3 linked regions of the Arabidopsis thaliana genome follow. The protein of the gene in region 1 interacts with the protein of each later gene in a pairwise test. Each region holds a gene or a part of one and is shown in the gene's direction. Other genes may lie near its edges.

Evidence for each region. The genes of interacting proteins can lie anywhere in the genome.
Region 2: the proteins of SERK2 (region 1) and RAC6 interact in a protein complementation assay, tested with the Arabidopsis thaliana proteins (one large-scale study listed by BioGRID).
Region 3: the proteins of SERK2 (region 1) and CHX19 interact in a protein complementation assay, tested with the Arabidopsis thaliana proteins (one large-scale study listed by BioGRID).

Annotation. Positions count from the first base shown.
Region 1 is NC_003070.9:12,454,317-12,463,405, forward strand, and holds SERK2 (somatic embryogenesis receptor-like kinase 2), read left to right. Parts: upstream 1-4,247; 5' UTR 4,248-4,761; coding exon 4,762-4,858; intron 4,859-5,266; coding exon 5,267-5,399; intron 5,400-5,482; coding exon 5,483-5,554; intron 5,555-5,805; coding exon 5,806-5,949; intron 5,950-6,178; coding exon 6,179-6,250; intron 6,251-6,344; coding exon 6,345-6,416; intron 6,417-6,651; coding exon 6,652-6,764; intron 6,765-6,951; coding exon 6,952-7,083; intron 7,084-7,173; coding exon 7,174-7,515; intron 7,516-7,650; coding exon 7,651-8,045; intron 8,046-8,121; coding exon 8,122-8,436; 3' UTR 8,437-8,589; downstream 8,590-9,089. Other genes in the region: AT1G34200 (Glyceraldehyde-3-phosphate dehydrogenase-like family protein), read left to right, coding at 1,477-1,944, 2,029-2,619; AT1G34220 (Regulator of Vps4 activity in the MVB pathway protein), read right to left, coding at 8,786-9,089. UniProt on the Arabidopsis thaliana protein: Serine/threonine-kinase involved in brassinosteroid-dependent and -independent signaling pathways. Acts redundantly with SERK1 as a control point for sporophytic development controlling male gametophyte production. Serves as coreceptor to small peptide (e.g.
Region 2 is NC_003075.7:17,022,460-17,029,343, reverse strand, and holds RAC6 (RAC-like 6), read left to right. Parts: upstream 1-3,477; 5' UTR 3,478-3,829; coding exon 3,830-3,928; intron 3,929-4,048; coding exon 4,049-4,136; intron 4,137-4,222; coding exon 4,223-4,332; intron 4,333-4,406; coding exon 4,407-4,470; intron 4,471-4,896; coding exon 4,897-4,961; intron 4,962-5,038; coding exon 5,039-5,104; intron 5,105-5,191; coding exon 5,192-5,293; 3' UTR 5,294-5,507; downstream 5,508-6,884. Other genes in the region: APX5 (ascorbate peroxidase 5), read right to left, coding at 56-121, 223-272, 376-500, 584-693; AT4G35940 (uncharacterized protein), read right to left, coding at 5,751-6,313, 6,433-6,884. UniProt on the Arabidopsis thaliana protein: May be involved in cell polarity control during the actin-dependent tip growth of pollen tubes.
Region 3 is NC_003074.8:6,025,237-6,033,161, forward strand, and holds CHX19 (cation/H+ exchanger 19), read left to right. Parts: upstream 1-3,451; 5' UTR 3,452-3,686; exon of another isoform or gene 3,687-3,851; 5' UTR 3,852-3,964; coding exon 3,965-4,162; intron 4,163-4,252; coding exon 4,253-5,254; intron 5,255-5,334; coding exon 5,335-6,537; 3' UTR 6,538-6,548; downstream 6,549-7,925. Other genes in the region: RBL14 (RHOMBOID-like protein 14), read left to right, coding at 149-937; AT3G17620 (F-box and associated interaction domains-containing protein), read right to left, coding at 1,262-2,458; AT3G17626 (structural constituent of ribosome), read left to right, coding at 2,943-2,984, 3,139-3,258; AT3G17640 (Leucine-rich repeat (LRR) family protein), read left to right, coding at 7,157-7,925. UniProt on the Arabidopsis thaliana protein: May operate as a cation/H(+) antiporter.

The DNA of each region.
Region 1 (9,089 bases):
AAAGAGAGTATGATCCGTAGGAATCTGCAAGCTTGAGAAACTAGAGAGCAGATACCGACGACGCAACCAACCGAAGTTTCCTCTGTTCTACTCATGGCAGCTTCCAAGAGAAAGCTTAAACCTTTATCTATCACCCGTCCTCTGTTATTGATCGCTGAGGCGGTTGCGCCGCCATTCTTTAATGAAGTTACTAGTTGCCGACTACAATATAAGTCGTATGGCTGGGCAAAATATTAGTTTGATTCGATCGGATCCGTTATTTGGTTCGATTCAATTCGAAAAATCGGGATATCTATAGTTTTACAAAGCAAATTAAAAAATAAAAAATTTGTTAAAAGTGAAACAAATAACTAATACTAAAATTTAAATAAGTGGATATCTGTTTCGATCTATTATACACAAAACATATATATATATATATATATAGATAATTACATACATATATATTAATAATTTAACACTTTTTATGTAAGTTTTATCAGTTTTTTTTTTGTTTTTTTTAACTTCAAACTTTAGGCTTTATTATAGTGATGAAGTGTAATCCTCATGGATGAATTATACAATAAAAAATGGAACCAAAGAGAAAAGAGAAAAAGAAGTATTATTTGGGAATGGAGTCTTCACTAAACAATCAGCAACTTTATTACACGTTCTAGGCACCCATGTGACTTCGGCTTCGAAAAATTTCTTCTGCCAGTATTGAATCTCCCTTATCAAGTTGTGTAACTCAAAACTTCGGGCTTTGCCATTGACACACTCTGCCACACTTCTATTGTCACCTTCGAATATATCACACTCAGTTTATGTTCATTAAATTAATTATTTAAATATTTTTTTAGTGAATCATTATTTATTTGGGATTAAATTTTTGATTTTTATAATTTTTATTAATTTTTATAATTATTTTTTAATATATACATAACAAATTGAATATTTGACAAATAGTTCAGATTTTAAAGAATATCCAAAAATTCGGTTACTTTCGAAACAAATATAAATCAGAACACTAATTATTCGGATAAAACAAATCGGATAACAAATAATATTACAATTTTGAATATTCCGTTGGTGTCGACCCCTAAAATTAAATTATGTGAAATTTTTAGCATCGGATAATGTTTAGCGAGTTAAAAAAATGAATTATTAGGTGTTTGTTACGGATCTGATTGTTTTCTATTTTATATAAGTAAGGAAAAAAATCTGTTTTTTCTTCTTTTTTACATTAATATAAATTGAAACAACTTGTTATTGCGCTCTCTTTGAAAATTCCAAGAACACTAAATGTGGTCAATAATGGCAGATTTAGTAACAAACATATTTCAACAATTAACTATACAAATTATTCCCAAAACAGAAGGCTTAATATCAACATCTTAAAATTTACTAAAAATTGAAAACACTAAAGAGGAAATTAAGTGACCAAGTCTTCTTCTTCTTTACTCTCTCCTTTCTGTTACCGTCGAAAAAATCGAGCTAATGTCCGGTGATAACCAGATCCGAATCGGACTCTTAAGCTGCACAAACAAAGTCCGCAAACTCTCTCGAGCTATAAATCTCTCTCCAAACGCTACTATATCCGCCATAGCCACCACAAGCTCCATCGAAGAAGCAAAATCATTTGCTAAATCCAACAATTTCCCTCCGAATACAAAACTCCACAGCTCCTACGAGTCACTTCTAGAAGATCCCGACGTCGACGCCGTCTATTTCCCTATCCCCACTCGCCTCCACGTCGAGTGGGCTACACTCGCCGCTATTAAGGGTAAACATATACTCCTTGATAAGCCTGTTGCTTTAAACGTAGCTGAGTTTGATCAGATCGTTGAAGCTTGTGAGGTTAATGGTGTTCAATTTATGGATGGAACTCAGTGGATGCATAGCCCTAGAACGGATAAGATTAAAGAATTTGTGAATGATTTAGAGAGTTTTGGTCAGATTAAATCTGTAAGTGTTTAAGTACTTAAATTAGTAACTTAATCATGTTTATTGAAATTTTGAGTATAGAACGATGGTCTTATGCTTATGCAGGTGTATAGTTGTTTCTCATTTGCTGCGAGTGATGATTTCTTAAAACATGATATTCGTGTAAAGCCTGGTCTTGATGGACTTGGAGCTCTCGGTGATGCTGGATGGTATACGATCCAAGCGATTCTTCTTGTTAACAACTTTAAACTTCCGAAGACCGTTACTGCTTTGTCCGGTTCTGTTTTAAACGATGCGGGGATTGTTCTTTCTTGTGGTGCGTTGTTTGATTGGGAAGATGGGGTCAATGCAACGATTTACTGTTCTTTCTTGGCGAATTTGACGATGGAGATAACTGCGATCGGTACGAAAGGTAGTCTTCGTGTTCATGATTTTGTTATACCGTATATGGAAACCGAGGCTGTGTTTACTACAAGTGGTGGAGGTTGTGTTAGTGAACATAAAGTAATGACTGAGCTTTCACAAGAGGCGTGTATGGTTATGGAATTTGCTCGGTTGGTTGGAGAAATCAAAAACAGAGGAGCTAAACCGGATGGGTTTTGGATGAGGTTTAGCCGGAATACGCAGTTGCTTGTTGATGCTGTGAAAGAGTCGATTGATAATAACCTTGAACCGGTGTTTCTCTCCGGCCGGTGAGAAAGAGCTCAGAAGTTAGATCAGATTTGTTTGTGTCGATGCTTTTAGTAGATGTAGTAATTAGGGGTTTATGTATGATATCTTCTCGGCGTCCGTTGGTGGAGAGGTCAATTAAAGATCTCCTTGGCGCATGGCTGCAAGCATTTCATCAATACATTTCATCCATCACCAAGAAATTCTAGGGATATATACTGCATAGAGCTTCAAAGACTTGGTGCAGTGTCACTCACGAGTTTTGCTGTGTTTAATGTGGCACCGGGGTTTGCTTGTAAATCTATACCTCCAGCTTTAATAGCAGAGGTAGTGACTATGGCTGGTAAACTTTGGCATTATGTGACTTCTTTCTCCGATGTGACATCTTCAGGTGTCCAAACAAAAATCTCTGCTCATAAGACAATATAAGTTCATCGACAATACTAGCTACTGTTTTGTTGAATTCACAATCTCTGCACCTTTCTTATATAGCAGCCACCTTGGATTAATTTTGTTTTTGTTTTCCTTTTTCCTATGGTTTATGATTCAGAAGTTTAGATTATACGTTTATTTACAAGAATCCAGAGAATGAGTACATAATTGACCAAAAATAAAAGTTCAAATTATTTTGATGTAGAATTATAAATTAGTATTTGTAACTATGTTTTTTTTTAGTTTTTTGAATTTTTAAAGAAGAAAAAACACACATGTCAATATTTGTTCGACAAATATTGGTATGTGTTGTGTTCACGTGAGTTAACAATTTTGAAAACTTATCTACATATACATTTTTGCAGCCATTTATGTATACTTATTTACATTGGTTGCCATTGGCTTTTAATTATTGGGTTTTTTTTTTTGGTAATAAATTGATTAACAAACGAAAAACATTCGAAATATATTTCAATCCTATATATCACGCAGATTTCTCCAAAATTTAAACTAGATTTTGGCAACTATTTAAAACAAAAAATGTTTGACAAACTAAAATACAATTGCAATCCCTTAAAATGAGCAAAACGCACCTAAATACATTTTTTACAATTCACTAAATCTTATTTCTCCAAAATTTGAACTAGATTTCGGCAACTATTTAAAACAAAAATTTGTTTGACAAACTAAAATACAATTGCAATCCCGTAAAATATTTATTTAAATTAGCGGTGTACTACAGGTTTTTTTACGGAACGGGTTTGGCAAGACGGGTTTGGAAGAACTTTACTTAATAACAATTGTAAACTATAAAATAAAAATGTTTTATAGATAGATATAATTTGCAAACTTTTATATATATTAATTTTAAAAAATAATTTGTCTCCGCAGTATACTGCGGGTTAAAATCTAGTTATAATATATATCCGTAAAGAACAATAACACAGTATGAATTTTTTTTGTAAGTTATTCGATTAAAAATTAAAAGAAGCAAATTAAATTAAATAATGAGCTACCAAAACAAATAAACAAAAATTACTTTTTTGTCTATAAACATGGAGTTTTGCCAAGAAATTGTAAATAAAGTTTCTATTCCTTTTTTGTAAACAAAAGTTGTGTATCTAATTTTCTCTTTTCCATAAGTTGTGAATTGTGATAATAATTTACAAGTTGACAAAGAAAGAAAAGATTTAAAACAAAAAAAATGTGATTGTACTTAAGATTTCAAAGGTAGCGTTTTGTTGTTTCTCTCTTCCTCTCTCTCTCCACTGGTACCAATCACGCTCCATTAAGAATTTAAGAGAGAGAGAGACTAAACTTGAGCCCATCACTTTTGTAGTGACTAGTGAGTAGAGTAGGCTTTTAGAGAGAGAGAGAGAGAGACGGCTGTTGAAAGATAACCACAGAACACAAAAACTCATTCATTAAGAATGAGAAAGAAAGTCCCAAAAACCTTTTTTGCTCTGAAAAAGCAACGCAAAGTTTTGAAAAATCTCACACCTTTTTCACTTCTCTGTTTGTAGCTGTTACCACTTGTGTTTCCCCTTTGGCATTTTTCTCGGTTGTCATTAATGAGAGTAAAATCATCATCAAGTGTAAACTTCTCTCTCTCTTTCTCTATCTCTATCTCAAAGCTCTCAACTTTGGAGAGATCATGGTTTGTGTTTGATTTCTCAAGTTTTTTTTTTTTTACCCTCTTGGAGGATCTGGGAGGAGAAATTTGCTTTTTTTTGGTAAATGGGGAGAAAAAAGTTTGAAGCTTTTGGTTTTGTCTGCTTAATCTCACTGCTTCTTCTGTTTAATTCGTTATGGCTTGCCTCTTCTAACATGGAAGGTTTGTTACTCTTCTCTTATCTTTCTTTATTATTTATGTGACTACTTTTGCCTGTTTTAGTTGGTACATGAGAATTGAAATTTCCATCTGGCACTGTCTCTGTTCTTCAAAAAGGACTTTTTAAGAATCTGATTCTGTTTGAAAGCTTCAATTTCTATAGAGAATTTTGTTCATAATCTATGGTTAGGCTCCTTTAGAAAAATCACAATTGATTTACTGTTTGATTCAATGCTATTTCTCTGATAACGACATGTAAAAGAAACTGTATTTATGTCACTAGCAAACACATTAAGAATGAGGAACTGAAGAAGTATTCAATGCAAACTGTTTGGTTGTTTCATGTTTGATTTGTTTGGTAAGTATTTCCTCTTTGCGAAAGGCTTAGGCTTTTGTTTGGTATATTAACAGGTGATGCACTGCACAGTTTGAGAGCTAATCTAGTTGATCCAAATAATGTCTTGCAAAGCTGGGATCCTACGCTTGTTAATCCGTGTACTTGGTTTCACGTAACGTGTAACAACGAGAACAGTGTTATAAGAGTGTGAGTGTCTCTCTGCTTATACCTGACCTGACCAATGTTCTTTGTTTAGCTTATTTAATCTCTGTTTGTTGTTGCTTCTTCAGCGATCTTGGGAATGCAGACTTGTCTGGTCAGTTGGTTCCTCAGCTAGGTCAGCTCAAGAACTTGCAGTACTTGTAAGTTTTTGCTTTGATATCTAAATGGAAGATGAATCGTTACTCTGTAGATAAACGAAAAGTTGATGGCATTGACTATGTGTAGCATAACTACTTTATTTCTAGAGACTTGTAGTTTCTCATACATGATATAGGCGAATATGGCGATTACACTGAATCTTGTTTTTTCATTTTATTAGGACTTATTCAATACCCATTTGTCATTGTACATTGTTAATTTTCTTCTGAGGGTGTGATACTCTTAATGGCAGGGAGCTTTATAGTAATAACATAACCGGGCCGGTTCCAAGCGATCTTGGGAATCTGACAAACTTAGTGAGCTTGGATCTTTACTTGAACAGCTTCACTGGTCCAATTCCAGATTCTCTAGGAAAGCTATTCAAGCTTCGCTTTCTGTAAGAACACTTAGTCTGCTCTTCTCATCATGCACTGGCTAAATGTTTTGCTATATTAGAAATTTACTGAGGATTAAATTCTCTTTTGGCTAAATGTTATTACTTGTTGGACATTTGAATAGAAGTAAAAGAAATTGGCTTTGTCTTTCAAAACACTGAATAAACTTGTTTGATTGAACTCTGGTATGGGAAGATGGTAATGTGGTCTGAGTTTTTGTTGCAAGGATAGTCGGCTCAACAATAACAGTCTCACCGGACCAATTCCCATGTCATTGACTAATATCATGACCCTTCAAGTTTTGTGAGTATTACTTTTCAATTTTACTTTCTGCTCTTCTGAACTTCTCACTCTTAATGGATCACCTGAGTTTTCCTTATTATCTTGCAAACTGCAGGGATCTGTCGAACAACCGATTATCCGGATCTGTTCCTGATAATGGTTCCTTCTCGCTCTTCACTCCCATCAGGTTTGATTGAATCCATACTATGCAAACATTAGTTACTCGCATTATGGGAACTGAGGCTATAAGTTAAGATTAAGCACAAGTGGCAATAAAATTTAAAGTCTGAACCTAAGTTTCTTTTGATCATCTTAACTCTTAAGTAAATTTACTCAATAGACATACTACATTTTCCAAATTCTATTACTTTAATTGGTGGATATGGAAATTATCAGCAGTTGACCATTGTTCTTCTGCACAGTTTTGCTAACAACTTGGATCTATGCGGCCCAGTTACTAGCCGTCCTTGTCCTGGATCTCCCCCGTTTTCTCCTCCACCACCTTTTATACCACCTCCCATAGTTCCTACACCAGGTAATGAAATGAAGCAGACAGTAAAATTTAGATCTTTTACCTTCACTCATGCTTGGAAAAACATATTGGATGGTTGTTATAGAGTTTTTTACTGGATTTTGACTGGAAAAAAGTCTATCTCACAGTTTAAGAAGCTTGTGATCAACTTCACTGGTAGTTAACTATTTTGGTAAAAATAAAATTTAAGGTGGGTATAGTGCTACTGGAGCCATTGCGGGAGGAGTTGCTGCTGGTGCTGCTTTACTATTTGCTGCCCCTGCTTTAGCTTTTGCTTGGTGGCGTAGAAGAAAACCTCAAGAATTCTTCTTTGATGTTCCTGGTAAGTCACTGAGTCTGCAATATCCAAGCTTTGTTTCATTTCAGAATTGGATTAGTATTTAGTACTTAATTTTTCAGTTCTGTGATGCAGCCGAAGAGGACCCTGAGGTTCACTTGGGGCAGCTTAAGCGGTTCTCTCTACGGGAACTTCAAGTAGCAACTGATAGCTTCAGCAACAAGAACATTTTGGGCCGAGGTGGGTTCGGAAAAGTCTACAAAGGCCGTCTTGCTGATGGAACACTTGTTGCAGTCAAACGGCTTAAAGAAGAGCGAACCCCAGGTGGCGAGCTCCAGTTTCAGACAGAAGTGGAGATGATAAGCATGGCCGTTCACAGAAATCTCCTCAGGCTACGCGGTTTCTGTATGACCCCTACCGAGAGATTGCTTGTTTATCCTTACATGGCTAATGGAAGTGTCGCTTCCTGTTTGAGAGGTAACCTTGGAATTTTAACTGTTTGTATCATAAAGTAGAAAGACTCCCACAATGATGTATAAGTGTTGTTTTTGATCTTATCCATTTTTAAAACTTTCCAATACAATTGAGTGAGCTTTCTTGAAATGATTACAGAACGTCCACCATCACAGTTGCCTCTAGCCTGGTCAATAAGACAGCAAATCGCGCTAGGATCAGCGAGGGGTTTGTCTTATCTTCATGATCATTGCGACCCCAAAATTATTCACCGTGATGTGAAAGCTGCTAATATTCTGTTGGACGAGGAATTTGAGGCGGTGGTAGGTGATTTCGGGTTAGCTAGACTTATGGACTATAAAGATACTCATGTCACAACGGCTGTGCGTGGGACTATTGGACACATTGCTCCTGAGTATCTCTCAACTGGAAAATCTTCAGAGAAAACTGATGTTTTTGGCTACGGGATCATGCTTTTGGAACTGATTACAGGTCAGAGAGCTTTTGATCTTGCAAGACTGGCGAATGACGATGACGTTATGCTCCTAGATTGGGTATAACACAGATCTTTTAGCACATATCTGGCTATCTCTCAAAAAGCTGATTTATCTGTTCATTTGGTCTTCTCAGGTGAAAGGGCTTTTGAAGGAGAAGAAGCTGGAGATGCTTGTGGATCCTGACCTGCAAAGCAATTACACAGAAGCAGAAGTAGAACAGCTCATACAAGTGGCTCTTCTCTGCACACAGAGCTCACCTATGGAACGACCTAAGATGTCTGAGGTTGTTCGAATGCTTGAAGGTGACGGTTTAGCGGAGAAATGGGACGAGTGGCAGAAAGTGGAAGTTCTCAGGCAAGAAGTGGAGCTCTCTTCTCACCCCACCTCTGACTGGATCCTTGATTCGACTGATAATCTTCATGCTATGGAGTTGTCTGGTCCAAGATAAACGACATTGTAATTTGCCTAACAGAAAAGAGAAAGAACAGAGAAATATTAAGAGAATCACTTCTCTGTATTCTTTATTTCTTTGGTAGAAAAATAATGTAGTCTCTAATCAAATCTTATTCCATCTATCAGCATTCTTCATTCATTTCTTGTGAAAACCAAGGCCTTTAAATTAAACATAATCACAAACACCAAGTTCTATACATTACATATGTCTTCCACTGGATAAAGAGGAAGAAAAGGCTATTCCAAAAAACATTTTGAGCTCTTTGTTCCGCAAGAGAAGGAACAGCACAAGTGAAACACACTGAAAAACACCAAGCTTGCATTATAACATATGCAGGTAAGAATCACGAATCATGGGCGGGTCTTGTATTGTCTGAGAACGAATGAGAGCCAGATGAGGGATCATGCTTCTGCGATGTGAAGAGATTAGGGTATGAGTAATAGGGATCATCTTCCATTGAAGGCAGTCTCATTTGCTGATGGTCCTGGTCAGGGCTGAGTCTGTCAAGTGGTGAAGTCTCTGGCCTTTGGAGCTCTGGCAGATCGCCATAGCTGCTGACTGATGAGTTCTGATGATCAAACTGCGGTTTCTCCATTGACGGGAATCTATGTGGTGTAAGATCGTCATAGTTGCTGCCTGATGAGTTC
Region 2 (6,884 bases), on another chromosome or scaffold:
AACTCACTTAGCAACGATGATTTAACGCATACGCTTTAGCGGTAAGTGTAACTACCTTACGGCCTGGTGTAAATGGGATTGCAGGGCCGCCAGTAACCTCCACTGCAACAACTCCAGCGAGCTGAAATGAAATGAAAGAATCTGTCACGCTAACCATCAAGGGGGAAGAGAGTATTTATGAGTTTAATGGCTTCGAGATGCTGTATACCAATGTTGATTTACCTGATAAAGGTCTGCGTAAGAGACTCTGGGATGCTTAGCCTTTACTTCCTCTGAAATTAGAAACCAAAATTTAGACATCAAAGGAGACAGCAACCGCTTGCAGGTCCTGAAGAGTAGTAGTAACGGATTAGAAGGTTTAATCATAAAACTCACCGCAGAAGGCGACTGCCTTCTCCAAACCTTTGTTGTGTGGACGGTTTAGCTCTTCCTTGAATCTGATAGATCCATTGGCACCTCCGGTTTTCTTCTTGGCATCATAGGTTCCTGCATCATGCCATCTATATGCACAGAAGAGTTGGCATTTGGAAACATCAAGACAAGAAAGAAAAACGGAGAATGATTCTGAGAGCAAAGATCTTACGCAAGACGGAGCATAATGGGAGCACAGTTTCTGGAAGAGATGAGAGCTCGAAGGTCTCTACGAGTTTTCTCTATCTCTTTGAGGTACTCTGCATCAACGTTCACTGCCATTGTCAGAATTTCAAAGAGCAAGCAAAATAACTCAGACCGATGAATAAGATTGAAGAATGACTCAGAAGGATGAATATATAAATAGGATTGAAGAAGAGTTTAGGGGAGAAGAATGTTTTGTCATATGGAGAAAGCAAAGTATTAAATATAGTTATGGGAGAACCCTTTTGCTAATCTTCGCATATATTCAATTTTTCATCTATGCAACTATAGTTTATTCAAAAGTTTTAGTTACCATCCCGTCGCAAGCAGAGCTGGGGCATAACTATCTCGGAAGAAGATTCTACCTAACACTAAACTACATTGGTTGTTTGAGATCAATTTGATTGAAATGATTTCGTTATTGTAATAACAAATAAAAACAAGATAACTTTTAGACATTTTTAGTTTTGAACAAGATATGACAAACATTCTAATCCATAAAGACAAGCGTTTTGGTTCCTACTTCGTATCAAGAGGGCTACTTACTAAGTTACTATTTGACCTTGAGAGACGATCGTTGTGAAGGTGTTACACTAAAATATTAATTATCCACTAATGACGAACAGTGTCCTTAATTTTTTGTTGGTTTGGGGTTTTGGTTGGGTCTCTATTGGCCCATTGGGCTTATTATGAATGCTTCTAGTTTTTGTTGTTGTGTAATTTTCATCTCGGTGTCAACCTGTCAAGTCAATTGTCACCTCATGCACAAACGGTAACTTATTTGAGACGCAAAATTTACAACGGTAAGAAAATATAGACGTTAGAAAAGTAGCCGTTGAAAGAAGAAATCCGAAGCTGCCTATATAAGTGGCTCGTGCTCACTCACTTACTTCCCACAATCATTTCTTCTTCTGTATAATCGCTTACTATTCTCGTAGTTTCAGAAAGCAAAAGTCTTTTTTCTAGTTGAAAAACCAAAGAGAGAGAGAGTCAGAGAGCTCAAAGTTCATCCAAAGTTAATCGAGAGCAAGTTTCATTCCTCTCAACAAAGTTCGTCCAAGGTTTCTCGTAGTCACTAGCCGAACTCTGCTTTTAAGATTGGTAAGAATTCTTAGATGTTTCCTTACTTTTCTACGACTTATGTTGTTGATCGAAACACTTTCATGGTCTATTCTTCTCACTAAAGTTTCGTCAGTTTCAGTTTTACGCATCATACTATTTTCACTTTGTCTAAACTCACATCTTCCTCTGTTTTCTTTTTCGAGTGTTCTTGCAGGTTTCTCTCCAAGCAAATAGCTAGAAATGGAAGGCTCATCAAGCTTCACTACAACCAACGCAAAGAAAGAAAAACAGAGAGCGTTCACCCAATTTCCCCGTGATTTCATTATATACTATCATCGTAATCAAGAACTCTGCTTTGAGACTCTGCTTTAGGGTTTGGTAAGAATCTGATGTTTCTCCTTTTTGTTTGACGAATTGAGCCGTGTATTTTCTGAAACATCTTGATTTTGGGAATTGTAGTCATAATGTTAAAGAGAGTTATTATAGTGTAATTTATCTTTGAGAAATTTCTGCCATCTAAACTGTTTCTGACAATTACAGGTGAGAGAGAGAAGAGATAAATGATCCGTCACAGTCACGACAAACGATCCACGGCAACCTTTGGCGGTGATAGCGGGCTTGTTGCGCCGGGGTATCATCTTGGACTTCCAGTTGACTACTCGCCGTGATGTTCAGGGTTAGTTTCATCAATGCTCTTCTTATATGTCTCTCTCAGTCGTTACTCTGTTAAAAGCCATATAATAAATCGTAGACTTGGTGAGTTATTTGGTCGGATTTTATAGATTAACTCTCTCATTCATCCATATGTAGCTCGTGTATTTATGATTTTTATGATTTTTTGTCATTGCATATTTTCAAACTTGTTAGTAATTTTGGAATGTTGATTTGATAAAACTGATTCCAACTCCACGAATCCTGGTTTATCAAAACTGTGATTGTATCATCGTACACACATCAAATAAAAACTTTTACTTTGAACATTTTCAAATGCTAACTTTTTCCGACAAATTAATTACATGGTTTGTGAAAGATTCCCAACTCTTAACGTTTTTGTTCTCGCTGTCGCAGGTTTTCTTATCAAGGAAGGTTACGTTGACCCGAATAAGTTCATTAGCATAGACATCTTTCCTCACGAAAGGCAAATATGACCAATGTTGACATTTTACATACTCGGTAAAATATTTGTTAGTTGAGATTATTGCAATTTTTGGCAGAAAATATTACCACACTTTGTTGACATACAAATAAGTTCAGGTTTGGTCCATACACCACATTCTCACTAGCCAACATGCAAATTCAACTAACCACATTCAATATCATCAAACATCCTTGAAATTTTAACATAAATTTGGCGAGTATGCGGAAGAACTAGTGCATTACAACTTTATTGTACCGCAATTGGCTGATTGGTTTCATAAATATTGAATCATAACTTAGAGATTTTTTCACATTTGGTGAGCATCCGGAAAAACTAGTAAAAAAATGAATTAGAATAGTAAAACAAATCGTACTAGAAATTTTACAGACAGTTAAAAACACGTATAATTTTAGCCAGTGTTAATTTTTCTTATTTGCATTTTAAACAACAAAGACAAAATACATTATGTGCAACTCCTTTATTTTACTTTTTTGTATACAAGATAAATAAATTAATTTGAATATACACTAAAAAATCAAACAGAAAAAAGAAGAAGAAGTAAAATAGTAATTATTTAAAAGACAACAGAAGAAGTAAAAAAAGTAAAAAGATTGCAAAACAGTCGGAAGGTTGAATGGCTGAGATTAATCGAACGCTTCAATGGCAATTATTTCCGGCCATCACTTTCTTCTCTACTTCTTTCTTTCTCTCTCTAGTTGTTGTTCTCTCTCTCTCTCGCATCCTCCAATTCATCGTCCTCACGTTCCCTTTTGTTTATTCATCTTCCTTCCTTCTTCACATTTCTGATTTTCTCTATTTGGGGGGTTTGTTTCCACATTATACATATCTAGGGTTTTGAGATGGTTAATTGAAAGATAATGGTCGAAGTTTCGGAGGAATTGGCTTCACATTGTGGGTGTTTCTGGCTTCCTCAGGTTTAAATCTGAGGTTGATCTCTTTTGTTTTTTGGTAAATTGTGACATATTTTGGCTCGAAGAAGAAGAAGAAGAGGCAATGAGCGCATCAAGGTTCATAAAGTGCGTCACCGTTGGTGATGGAGCTGTTGGTAAAACCTGTTTGCTGATTTCTTATACCAGCAACACCTTTCCCACGGTATTCATCAATCATTCTCCCTCCTTTTTTTGATATCTGATTCATTTGATTCTGATTGTGCCATATATGAATTGGGATCCATACATACTAAAAATGTTGTATACATTTCCATTGGAACAGGATTATGTTCCGACTGTTTTCGATAACTTTAGTGCAAATGTGGTTGTTAATGGAGCCACGGTGAATCTTGGATTGTGGGATACTGCAGGTAATGAATGATGATCCAATTCATAATCCTTGGTGAGAGAGCTTTCCTTGATGAATCGGTCGAAATTATGTTTTTGGTTTATGCAGGGCAAGAGGACTATAACAGATTAAGACCTTTGAGTTACCGTGGTGCTGATGTTTTCATTCTTGCCTTCTCTCTCATTAGTAAGGCTAGTTATGAGAATGTTTCCAAGAAGGTCAGTTTCGTCCGAACTGGTCGACTATTTAACAATTGAGAGTTCCAAATTTTGATGCTTCTTTTCTTTTACAGTGGATTCCTGAGTTGAAGCACTATGCTCCTGGTGTCCCAATTGTCCTTGTTGGAACCAAACTAGGTTACTTCCTCCTCTCACATTTGTCCTTGTTTATGCATTTATTTATATATATGTCTGATTCCCATGCTTACACTGCCATTTTCCTTTTCACTTTATTAAGCTGCTCTGGTATAATATATCATGACATTAGTGGACATAAAACTTCACCTTCTCTTGATTGTGGTTAAAACTTGTACATGTTCAAGATGTATTCGTTAGGTGAAACTGAGGGTAGTTTTCAGAGAATATCATTGGTCAACAGGCTTCTTCTTGTATCTTGCACTTCTTGTGATAAAGCAACCATATCCTATAACACACGCCTTTAAGCATCCTCCAATGAAATAGCTACTGTATAGCAAGTGTATACCTTTATAAAAGACACTTGCAAGATCTTCAGTCAACTCATGATCCTGGCCTTTTTGATTGTCTAACCTTGGTTGTTGTCAGATCTTCGAGATGACAAACAGTTTTTCATCGACCATCCTGGTGCTGTCCCTATTACCACTGTTCAGGTAAGAATACAGTTATTTCCTCAGTGCAATTTTATCAGCTTTACCACCGTTAAGCATTTTCCCTCTCTGCATGGAAGGGAGAGGAGCTGAAGAAGCTAATTGGAGCGCCAGCTTACATCGAGTGCAGTTCAAAATCACAAGAGGTAAACGAATAAAAGACATCTCATGAATCATCTTTTCGGTGTTGGATTCTTCATCTTTTGATGAAAACAATGTGACTATAACTGCAGAACGTGAAGGGCGTGTTTGATGCAGCGATCAGAGTGGTCCTTCAACCTCCAAAGCAGAAGAAAAAGAAGAACAAAGCACAAAAGGCCTGCTCCATCTTGTAATAGCACTCATGGAAGTCAAGAAGCTCTTTGAGATGAGGATGACAGGGTGGTTTAAAAAAGTATCGCTTTTTCATTTTTGTTGTTGTTTTCCGTTTTCATTTGTGATCTCTTAGTTCCGTACAAAACGAATTGTGAGGTTAATTCAACTTCTATTTTAACTGATAGCCGAGAAAGCTTGTCTAGTTATTTACAAATGTTTTATCAATTGTGATAATGTTACTAATCCACTTCACATGAAAATTCCATTTCGATTTCTCATTCTATTATTATAAGAACAAGAGAGATTGAGACGAAATACTGATATTACTATATTGGTTACCAACCGCAAAGAATAACAAACAGTGTGTTCTTCTTATACAACCTTGGAATTTTAAGGCTAAACCAAAAAACTGTCTGGTCCAGAACATGGATGTCTCGACCAGATTCCTTGTTAAAAACTTCCTGCTCTTTGATGTTATCAGAACGGGACTGTGTAAGGTAAGGCGTAGACATCAGCTTCTGGTAAAAGGCGAGCACATGGCCACCCCATTGTATTGCCTACTTGCTTGATCTCATTCTCTCTATTAAGTTGTTTGCATATTTCTGTGGTGCTACTTGGCGGCTTCTTCATGGACCACCAACATTCTTCATCTTCAGAGTTAATGAGGTCTACTCTTCTCTCGATCGTGTTAGGGACCCAATTCTCAACTACGTCCAAGAATTGCAACACCATGGATGGAGGGCAATTGCATAGGCTTTTAGGAGGTTGATAAGTTTCTCGAGTAGAGGATGAGGATATCTTCTCTTTACCGTGTTTCCCTCTAAAAATGGGATCTTTCCTTTTCTCTTCTCGTGGCTTCGAAGCATGTTCTGCTGCAGAAGTGGAACAAGGATGTTGATTAACCGGCTCTCTAGTAGGAAGTTGGGACGAGTCTAACTTTATTCCCCGAGAAGGACCTGGTTTTTCTTGATCCTTATTGGTCATCATCACCTCGGGATCTTTCTGCCTTCGAATAGGCAATCGAATCCGAATGATGCTTTCTTCAAATTCATATCAACAATTTGAAGAAAGAATGTCATCAATGTCCTGATAAGGTAATTAGACCCAACAAGAATACAAGATCCTTCCCCGGGGAAGGAAGAAACACAAACAAACTCACCAGAGTCGTTGTTGTTATGTCTAACATCGAGAGGCTGCTGTTTCTCTTTCTGCTTCTCCTTGTTGTTATGTCTACCATTGAGAGGCTGCTGCTTCTCAATCCGCTTCTCGTTGTTGTTGTTATGTCTACCATTGAGAGGCTGCTGCTTCTCCATCAGCTTTTCGTTGTTGTTGTTATGTCTACCATTGAGAGGCTGCTGCTTCTCAATCCGCTTCTCGTTGTTGTTGTTATGTCTACCATCGAGAGGCTGCTGCTTCTCCACACGCTTCTCGTTGTTGTTGTTATGTCTACCATCGAGAGGCTGCTGCTTCTCCACACGCTTCTCGTTGTTGTTGTTGTTATGTCTACCATCGAGAGGCTGCTGGACCTCCTTCTGCTTCGGTAACATCTCATTGCTGTTAAGAGTGCTATCACAAGAGTTTTGGGACGTCGACTGAAGCAGCTCACGTTCT
Region 3 (7,925 bases), on another chromosome or scaffold:
CGAATTTGAGTTTCCTGGGAAATTTGTACCAATATCTGGAGAATTAGGGATTTTGTTCTTCGATATCTAATTAGATCATTCTTGATTGATTAATTCTATTCTCTGTTAAAGTTTTTTTTTTTAATCTTGATGTGTATTTGTTGAACAGCATAAGGACTTGAAGCGTTTATTTCTATCAGCGTTCTACCATGTTAACGAGCCTCACTTAGTCTATAACATGATGTCACTTCTCTGGAAAGGTATCAAGCTTGAGACATCAATGGGAAGCAGTGAGTTTGCTTCAATGGTCTTTACTCTTATTGGTATGTCTCAAGGAGTCACATTGTTGTTAGCCAAATCGCTTCTTCTCTTGTTTGACTATGACAGAGCTTACTACAACGAGTATGCGGTTGGGTTCTCGGGTGTTCTCTTTGCTATGAAAGTTGTTCTTAATTCTCAAGCTGAGGATTACTCAAGTGTGTATGGTATCTTGGTTCCAACAAAGTATGCTGCTTGGGCAGAATTGATTCTAGTGCAGATGTTTGTACCTAACGCTTCGTTTCTTGGGCATTTGGGTGGAATCCTTGCTGGTATTATCTATTTGAAGCTGAAAGGTTCTTACTCAGGCTCAGATCCAGTCACTATGGCGGTTAGAGGTGTATCTCGATTGGTGACGTGGCCCTTGAGGTTTCTGAATGGTATGGTTAGGTCTCGGAGAAGGAGGATTACGGGGAGAGGAAGAGTGGGAAGAGGTCAGACTGGGATAGCAGGACCTGGTATTTGGAGATGTCAGTCGTGTACATATGACAATTCTGGTTGGTTAAGTGCTTGCGAGATGTGTGGCTCGGGACGGGCTAGAGGAAATGGATGGTCACTGAATCAGGGACCAGCACTTTCTTCTTCTAATGATCTCCCTTTAGATGAGCTGCGCCGTCGAAGAGTAGAGAGGTTTAGTTGATCTCGGGAGCGCATTCTTAAAGCTGAGGAAGGATTGTGAATGAAGCTTTGTTGAATCATTCATTGCATTAGCTTATGAATAGCAGAGTTAGTGGTCGTGTTTTTCGATCTGTTTCTTCAATTTGTCTTCTCTTTTGTTGTTGAAGATTTGGTTCTACGTGAACTGGTCCTTTGATTAGATTGCTGAAAGTAGCGAGTGATTCAGATAATATAGTATCTTCACACCAAACTTACAGTTTCACAGACTTTCGATTTTAACAAAATTTTATCCTATTTCAAACCAAATTTTGTTGAAAGAAGAAGATCACAAAGCAAGATATAAATGTTAATCAGTAATCAATTTCCCTTTTTTCTTCCTTTTGCCTCCTTGCTTGATTTGCGCTGAGCTTGGAACATACGAGCACACAAGTGGATCTCGAATTTTATCAGTAGTTTTTCCGAGATCCACTTCTTTGTAATATCCATCCTCTCCAATGATGTAAGCTGTGTTGTGAGTGGGATACATTACATCTTTGTCTTTAGCAAAGACTACAACAACTTTCTTCTCTTCGTCAATGATGAAACTCGCATCTGCAATTCCAAACTTAAAATCAGTGAGTGGTTGCATATCCACTGCTAAGAACAACTTGCTCCACATCACCTCTTCAGGTTCAATCTTAGTCGTAACCCAAATCTCCATATGTAAGTTGTCCTTACGCTGAAATAACACAGCAAGTTGCTCTTCTCTAACACTAGAAAGACTCACAGTATCTACATCCATAGGGTAACACGGCAAATGAAGACGCGGCCCAAATCTCTCCGATGTAAAATTAAAACAGAGCAAGAAATAAACACTATGTATAAGATTACTGCTGATTTCTGGAAACTTGTCTGTAGCAAACCAATAAGTATTTCCCTTGAGAGAGACACCTCGTGCATAAAACTCTACTTCCCAGTCGGAAGTGACATCGAGAACCCTCCATGAATTAGACTTTAACTCGTATATTTCGTACTCAACAAATTCTTCTTCGGCAAAATCAACGAATCGCAAAACTTTGTAGCGTAGGCTTGATTTACGCTTCTCGTATCCTATAGCACAGATATACCAGTCCATTCTATGGTCAGGACTACTGGGTTTGAGCCACAAAGTTTGGCTCCTATACGGATTCCAAACCACGACCCTAGTGTAGTCTTTCGAGATACATAACAGTAAACCGTCGCAGTGATATACTTCAGATATATCGATCTGATCTGTACCGTTTAGGCTAACAAGTTTAGCTTGACGGTTTATAGACGGGTCAAAGCCGTTGTGAATTCCACGGAGGTTGATGCTCGTTAGATAAACCTTACAATGCAAGACCATGACAACCTTAAACTCACTTTCCCTTGATGTTGCTTCCTGAGCAAGGTGCTTCTTTGTAAAGCTCCGCTTTTTGGATAATGTTTTCCAATTTTTGCAGGTAAATCGCGCTTCTCTCAATGATTTCACCGGAACCCTAGAGAGTCTCTCCTCCAACAAATCTCTTGGAAGATCGGACATCATCTTCAAATCTTTCAAATTTGAACAAGGATCGATGTAACACAAATTAGTTAGGTTTGAAACTTCAGTAAAAAGCTCTCATGTTTCCCCACAGGAACCCTAACTCAAGCTGGGCCGAAACACAACTCTGCCCTCTAAAAATTTCCCGGAATTATTCATCTTTTTGAACTCTTATTTATATGACTGTGATGTCGTTTCATTTATGGGCTTTATTATTGGGCTTTTAGCCCAACTGTAGTTAAAAACTTTTTAGTGATTCTCATTTGTATATGGCGGGGGAGATGATCGACGGTCGCTTCTTGCGGTGGAGATGGAGGAGGAAGACTCTCCTCTCCGACTGCGGCGATTGAACCGAGAGAGCCACCGAAGATTCGAAACCTACAAAATATAGAGGGTGATGTAATCCAGCGTCTGAGCTCGCTGAGAACAGCCTCGACGCCGATTCCAATTCAGTACGGTGGCTTAAAGCTCCTTCAATTCTCAGACCATGGCCAAGGCTCTGTATCTTTTGCTCACTGGTTCTACCATTGTGAGTTCTTCACTACCACCTGCTTTGAATTCAACTACAATCTATCTACAAAATTCTCTAGCCGAAACCTTTCAAGTTTTAGCATGAGACCCTTAGCTTCAATTGTTTTTCTCTTGGACACTGTCTAACTTTGATTCTTCTTGGAATTGATTAGGAAATGGCTAAGAAAGTTGGAGAAGTTATAGAAAAATCCTGCGTAGAGAATGGGATCACAAAGGTGGCCTTTGACCGTGCAATTTACACTTACCATGGCTTTAGCTGCTTCAGCAAATAGAACACGGTCTCCAATTTTAAGTCTTTTTTTGTTTTGTCCTTCTCAGAAATTTGCTTGTATAGAACCCATGATTGAAATTTAGATTAGTCGGCTTGGAACAGTGTTAACTTCTTCCTTTTTAATGTGTTCATTTGTTCTTACTACTTATGCATCTCAAGAATGTTTATATCGTCTATACGATGATAATATATTTGAAAATGGTTGATGTTTACAAAGCTTCAGAAGGTAAGACATCAAATGTGCTGCTTAGTTAAGAGACAGGTACAAGTGCTTGCAAATTTAGGACAGAAGGACAAAGACAGAGACGAAAACTTCGGCGCAGTGAAGGCAGTTCATATCTGCGAAGTATAGATGCGATATGGTTGGAAGTTAAGTAACTGATAGTCTATAAATAGAAAAGTGCGAGGTATATGCCCACCCTGGAGTTGGTATGTCCGCTTCTATCTCATCTACCTATTATTAGCAAACTATAGACGTTATTAGTTTTCTGTTTTTTCCTTTTATATACTCACTTCTTTAATGTAGATTCTGTTTAATAAAAACAGTAACAGAACAGAATAAAATCTTGATTTCTTTTTTTTCCTCCCATTCAGGTCTCATACTTCGTTTGGCAATGCAATGAGGGAGCAGCCAAGGCAGTATTGAAGGGTGAAGCAGTATCTCGTTTCTTGACCAATCATCAACCTGTAAGTAGATCTCCACTAGGATGGCAAGCACCAACGTTACAGGGCAATGCCCGGGTCCAATGAAGGCTACCTCCAATGGAGCCTTCCAAAACGAAAGCCCTCTTGATTTCGCGCTTCCTCTTATCATCCTACAAATCGTCTTGGTGGTTGTGTTTACAAGGCTCTTAGCTTACTTTCTTAAGCCTCTCAAACAGCCCCGAGTCATTGCTGAGATCATTGTGAGTTTCCTACTCAATCTCTTTGTATTTTTCTTTTTCTGTTTTGATGAAATCACATAGCAAAAGAGACTAAAAGGGATGGTTCTGTAGGGAGGGATACTGCTTGGACCTTCTGCACTAGGGAGAAGCAAGGCCTATCTTGACACCATCTTCCCAAAGAAGAGCTTGACCGTTTTAGACACACTCGCCAACATTGGTCTTCTGTTTTTCTTGTTCCTAGTTGGGCTTGAGCTTGACTTTGCAGCAATAAAAAAAACTGGAAAGAAATCACTATTGATAGCCATAGCTGGGATCTCACTTCCTTTTATAGTGGGTGTAGGCACATCTTTTGTTCTCAGTGCCACCATAAGCAAAGGAGTCGATCAGCTTCCTTTTATTGTCTTCATGGGTGTTGCCTTATCAATCACTGCCTTCCCTGTGCTTGCTCGTATACTAGCTGAGCTAAAGCTTCTAACAACTGACATTGGACGTATGGCAATGTCTGCAGCGGGAGTAAACGATGTTGCAGCTTGGATACTCCTTGCGCTTGCTATTGCTCTCTCAGGAGATGGGACTTCTCCTCTTGTATCTGTTTGGGTTCTTCTCTGTGGAACTGGATTCGTGATCTTTGCAGTTGTGGCAATCAAACCTCTGCTTGCTTATATGGCTAGACGCTGTCCTGAGGGAGAGCCTGTAAAGGAACTCTATGTTTGTGTCACTCTAACCGTGGTTTTAGCAGCAAGCTTTGTGACAGACACTATTGGGATACACGCGCTGTTCGGGGCGTTTGTGGTAGGTATAGTAGCTCCTAAAGAAGGACCATTTTGCAGGATTTTGACTGAGAAGATAGAGGATCTTGTTTCGGGGCTTCTTCTACCTCTGTATTTTGCGGCTAGCGGTCTCAAAACTGATGTAACAACGATCAGGGGAGCACAGTCATGGGGACTTCTAGTTCTTGTCATTCTCACCACTTGTTTCGGGAAGATTGTAGGAACAGTTGGTTCCTCGATGCTCTGCAAGGTTCCTTTCAGAGAAGCCGTGACACTTGGATTCCTTATGAATACCAAAGGTTTAGTAGAGCTCATTGTTCTTAACATTGGCAAGGACCGGAAGGTATAGATTCTTGAAAGCCATAATAAGACTTATAAAACATTTAAAAGCCGAGTTATCTAAATAACGATTTTTGTGAGCAGGTGCTGAATGATCAAGCATTTGCGATCTTAGTCCTAATGGCATTGTTCACAACCTTCATCACAACTCCAATTGTGATGCTTATTTACAAGCCTGCAAGAAAAGGAGCACCGTACAAGCACAGAACCATCCAAAGAAAAGATCATGATTCTGAGCTAAGGATACTTGCTTGCTTCCACAGTACCCGTAACATCCCCACATTGATCAATCTGATCGAATCATCAAGAGGAACAGGCAAAAAGGGACGCCTCTGCGTTTACGCGATGCATCTGATGGAGCTTTCTGAACGGTCATCAGCGATCGCGATGGTTCACAAAGCTCGAAACAATGGTCTCCCAATCTGGAATAAGATCGAGAGATCAACGGACCAGATGGTGATTGCCTTCGAGGCTTACCAGCATCTACGAGCAGTAGCGGTTAGACCCATGACTGCAATCTCTGGCCTCAGCAGCATCCACGAGGACATATGCACAAGCGCGCATCAGAAACGAGTAGCGATGATACTGCTTCCGTTTCACAAGCATCAGAGAATGGACGGAGCGATGGAGTCAATAGGACATAGGTTCCATGAAGTGAACCAACGGGTCTTGCAACGAGCTCCTTGCTCAGTCGGGATTCTTGTGGACAGAGGACTCGGAGGAACCTCACAGGTTGTAGCCAGCGAAGTGGCTTACAAAGTCGTGATTCCATTCTTTGGAGGCCTCGACGACCGAGAAGCTCTCGCATACGGGATGAAAATGGTGGAACATCCAGGAATCACACTAACTGTTTACAAATTTGTAGCTGCGAGAGGAACATTGAAGAGATTCGAGAAGAGTGAACACGACGAAAAGGAGAAAAAAGAGAAAGAGACTGACGAAGAGTTTGTGAGGGAGTTGATGAATGATCCAAGAGGAAATGAGTCATTGGCTTACGAGGAAAGAGTCGTTGAGAGCAAAGACGATATCATCGCGACACTTAAATCGATGAGTAAATGCAATCTCTTCGTCGTTGGAAGAAATGCAGCTGTTGCATCGTTGGTTAAGAGTACAGACTGTCCAGAGTTAGGACCAGTTGGACGCTTGTTGTCGTCATCAGAGTTTTCCACCACCGCGTCGGTGCTCGTCGTTCAGGGATATGATCCAGCAGCAGATACACGACCGCTCGTTGAGGAAGATGCAGAGTACGATCAGTCTTCCAGAGATATTTCAGACTTAACTGCCTGAACGGATTTTATTATAAAAACAAAATTTCTCTGTTTTTTTTTTTGTCTCATGAAATATTTTGATATTCTTTTTGGTTGGGACTTGGAGTGTCTCCATTGTTCTTTTTCTATTTTCCTTAAATTGATGGTTGACATTAGATTTGTGGGCATGAAAATCGACCTGTAATTTCTTAATATTTTGCCTTGAATGATCAAAGGAATAATATTTTTAAGATCCAACATTTCTAGTCATCACCATGGAATGTATCCTTGCCCATGATGGTGTCACCTACATACCTTTTTAGGGTGTAATGTGTTCATTGTTATTCAGAAAAAATGTAACAAACGGAAAAATGTCTAATCTTAAATTACCTCCTGAAGAGATATGAATGCAAAAAGGGACCACAACCGCCAATGACACCGACAAGAGTCAAAAGAGACGTCACTAATAAATAAACTAACACATTTTCGAACAAGAATCCATAACGTTAACATTCACTCACTGTCTATCACACACACACATGCTGTGTACTTCATTATTACTCTCTCTCACGCTCTCTCTTCTCTTCTCTTCTCTTCTTTAAAAATCTCACACCAACTTCATTGACAAAGAGAAGAAAACAACTCTCAAAAACAAAAACATGAGCTACACTTTCTTTCTCCTTTTGCTCTCTCTTGTCCACTCCACTTTCTCTTCATTAGCTCCTACGGATCGAGCCGCGCTCCAATCCATCAGAGACTCTTTAACCGACATGCCCGGTTCAGCCTTCTTCTCCTCTTGGGACTTCACAGTTCCTGACCCTTGTTCCTCCTTCTCTGGCCTTACCTGCTCTTCTCGCGGCCGTGTCACCGGCTTAACTCTTGGCCCTAATCTCTCAGGCTCTCTCTCCCCTTCCATCTCCATTCTAACCCACTTAACCCAACTCATTCTCTACCCCGGTTCAGTCACCGGTCCTCTCCCTCCTCGGTTCGATTCCCTCCCTCTCCTTCGAGTCATTTCCTTAACAAGAAACCGTTTAACCGGTCCTATACCCGTATCTTTCTCATCTCTCTCAAATCTCCACACTCTTGACCTTAGCTATAACCAACTCTCTGGCTCTCTCCCTCCTTTTCTCACCACTCTTCCTCGACTCAAAGTCCTTGTTTTAGCCTCAAACCATTTCTCCAACAACCTTAAGCCTGTCTCTAGCCCATTGTTCCATTTAGACCTAAAGATGAACCAAATCTCCGGCCAACTCCCACCCGCTTTCCCGACTACTCTCCGGTACTTATCTCTATCCGGAAACTCAATGCAGGGCACAATCAATGCCATGGAGCCATTAACAGAGCTAATATACATCGATCTAAGCATGAACCAATTTACCGGCGCAATCCCTAGCTCACTCTTTAGTCCCACAATCTCAACAATGT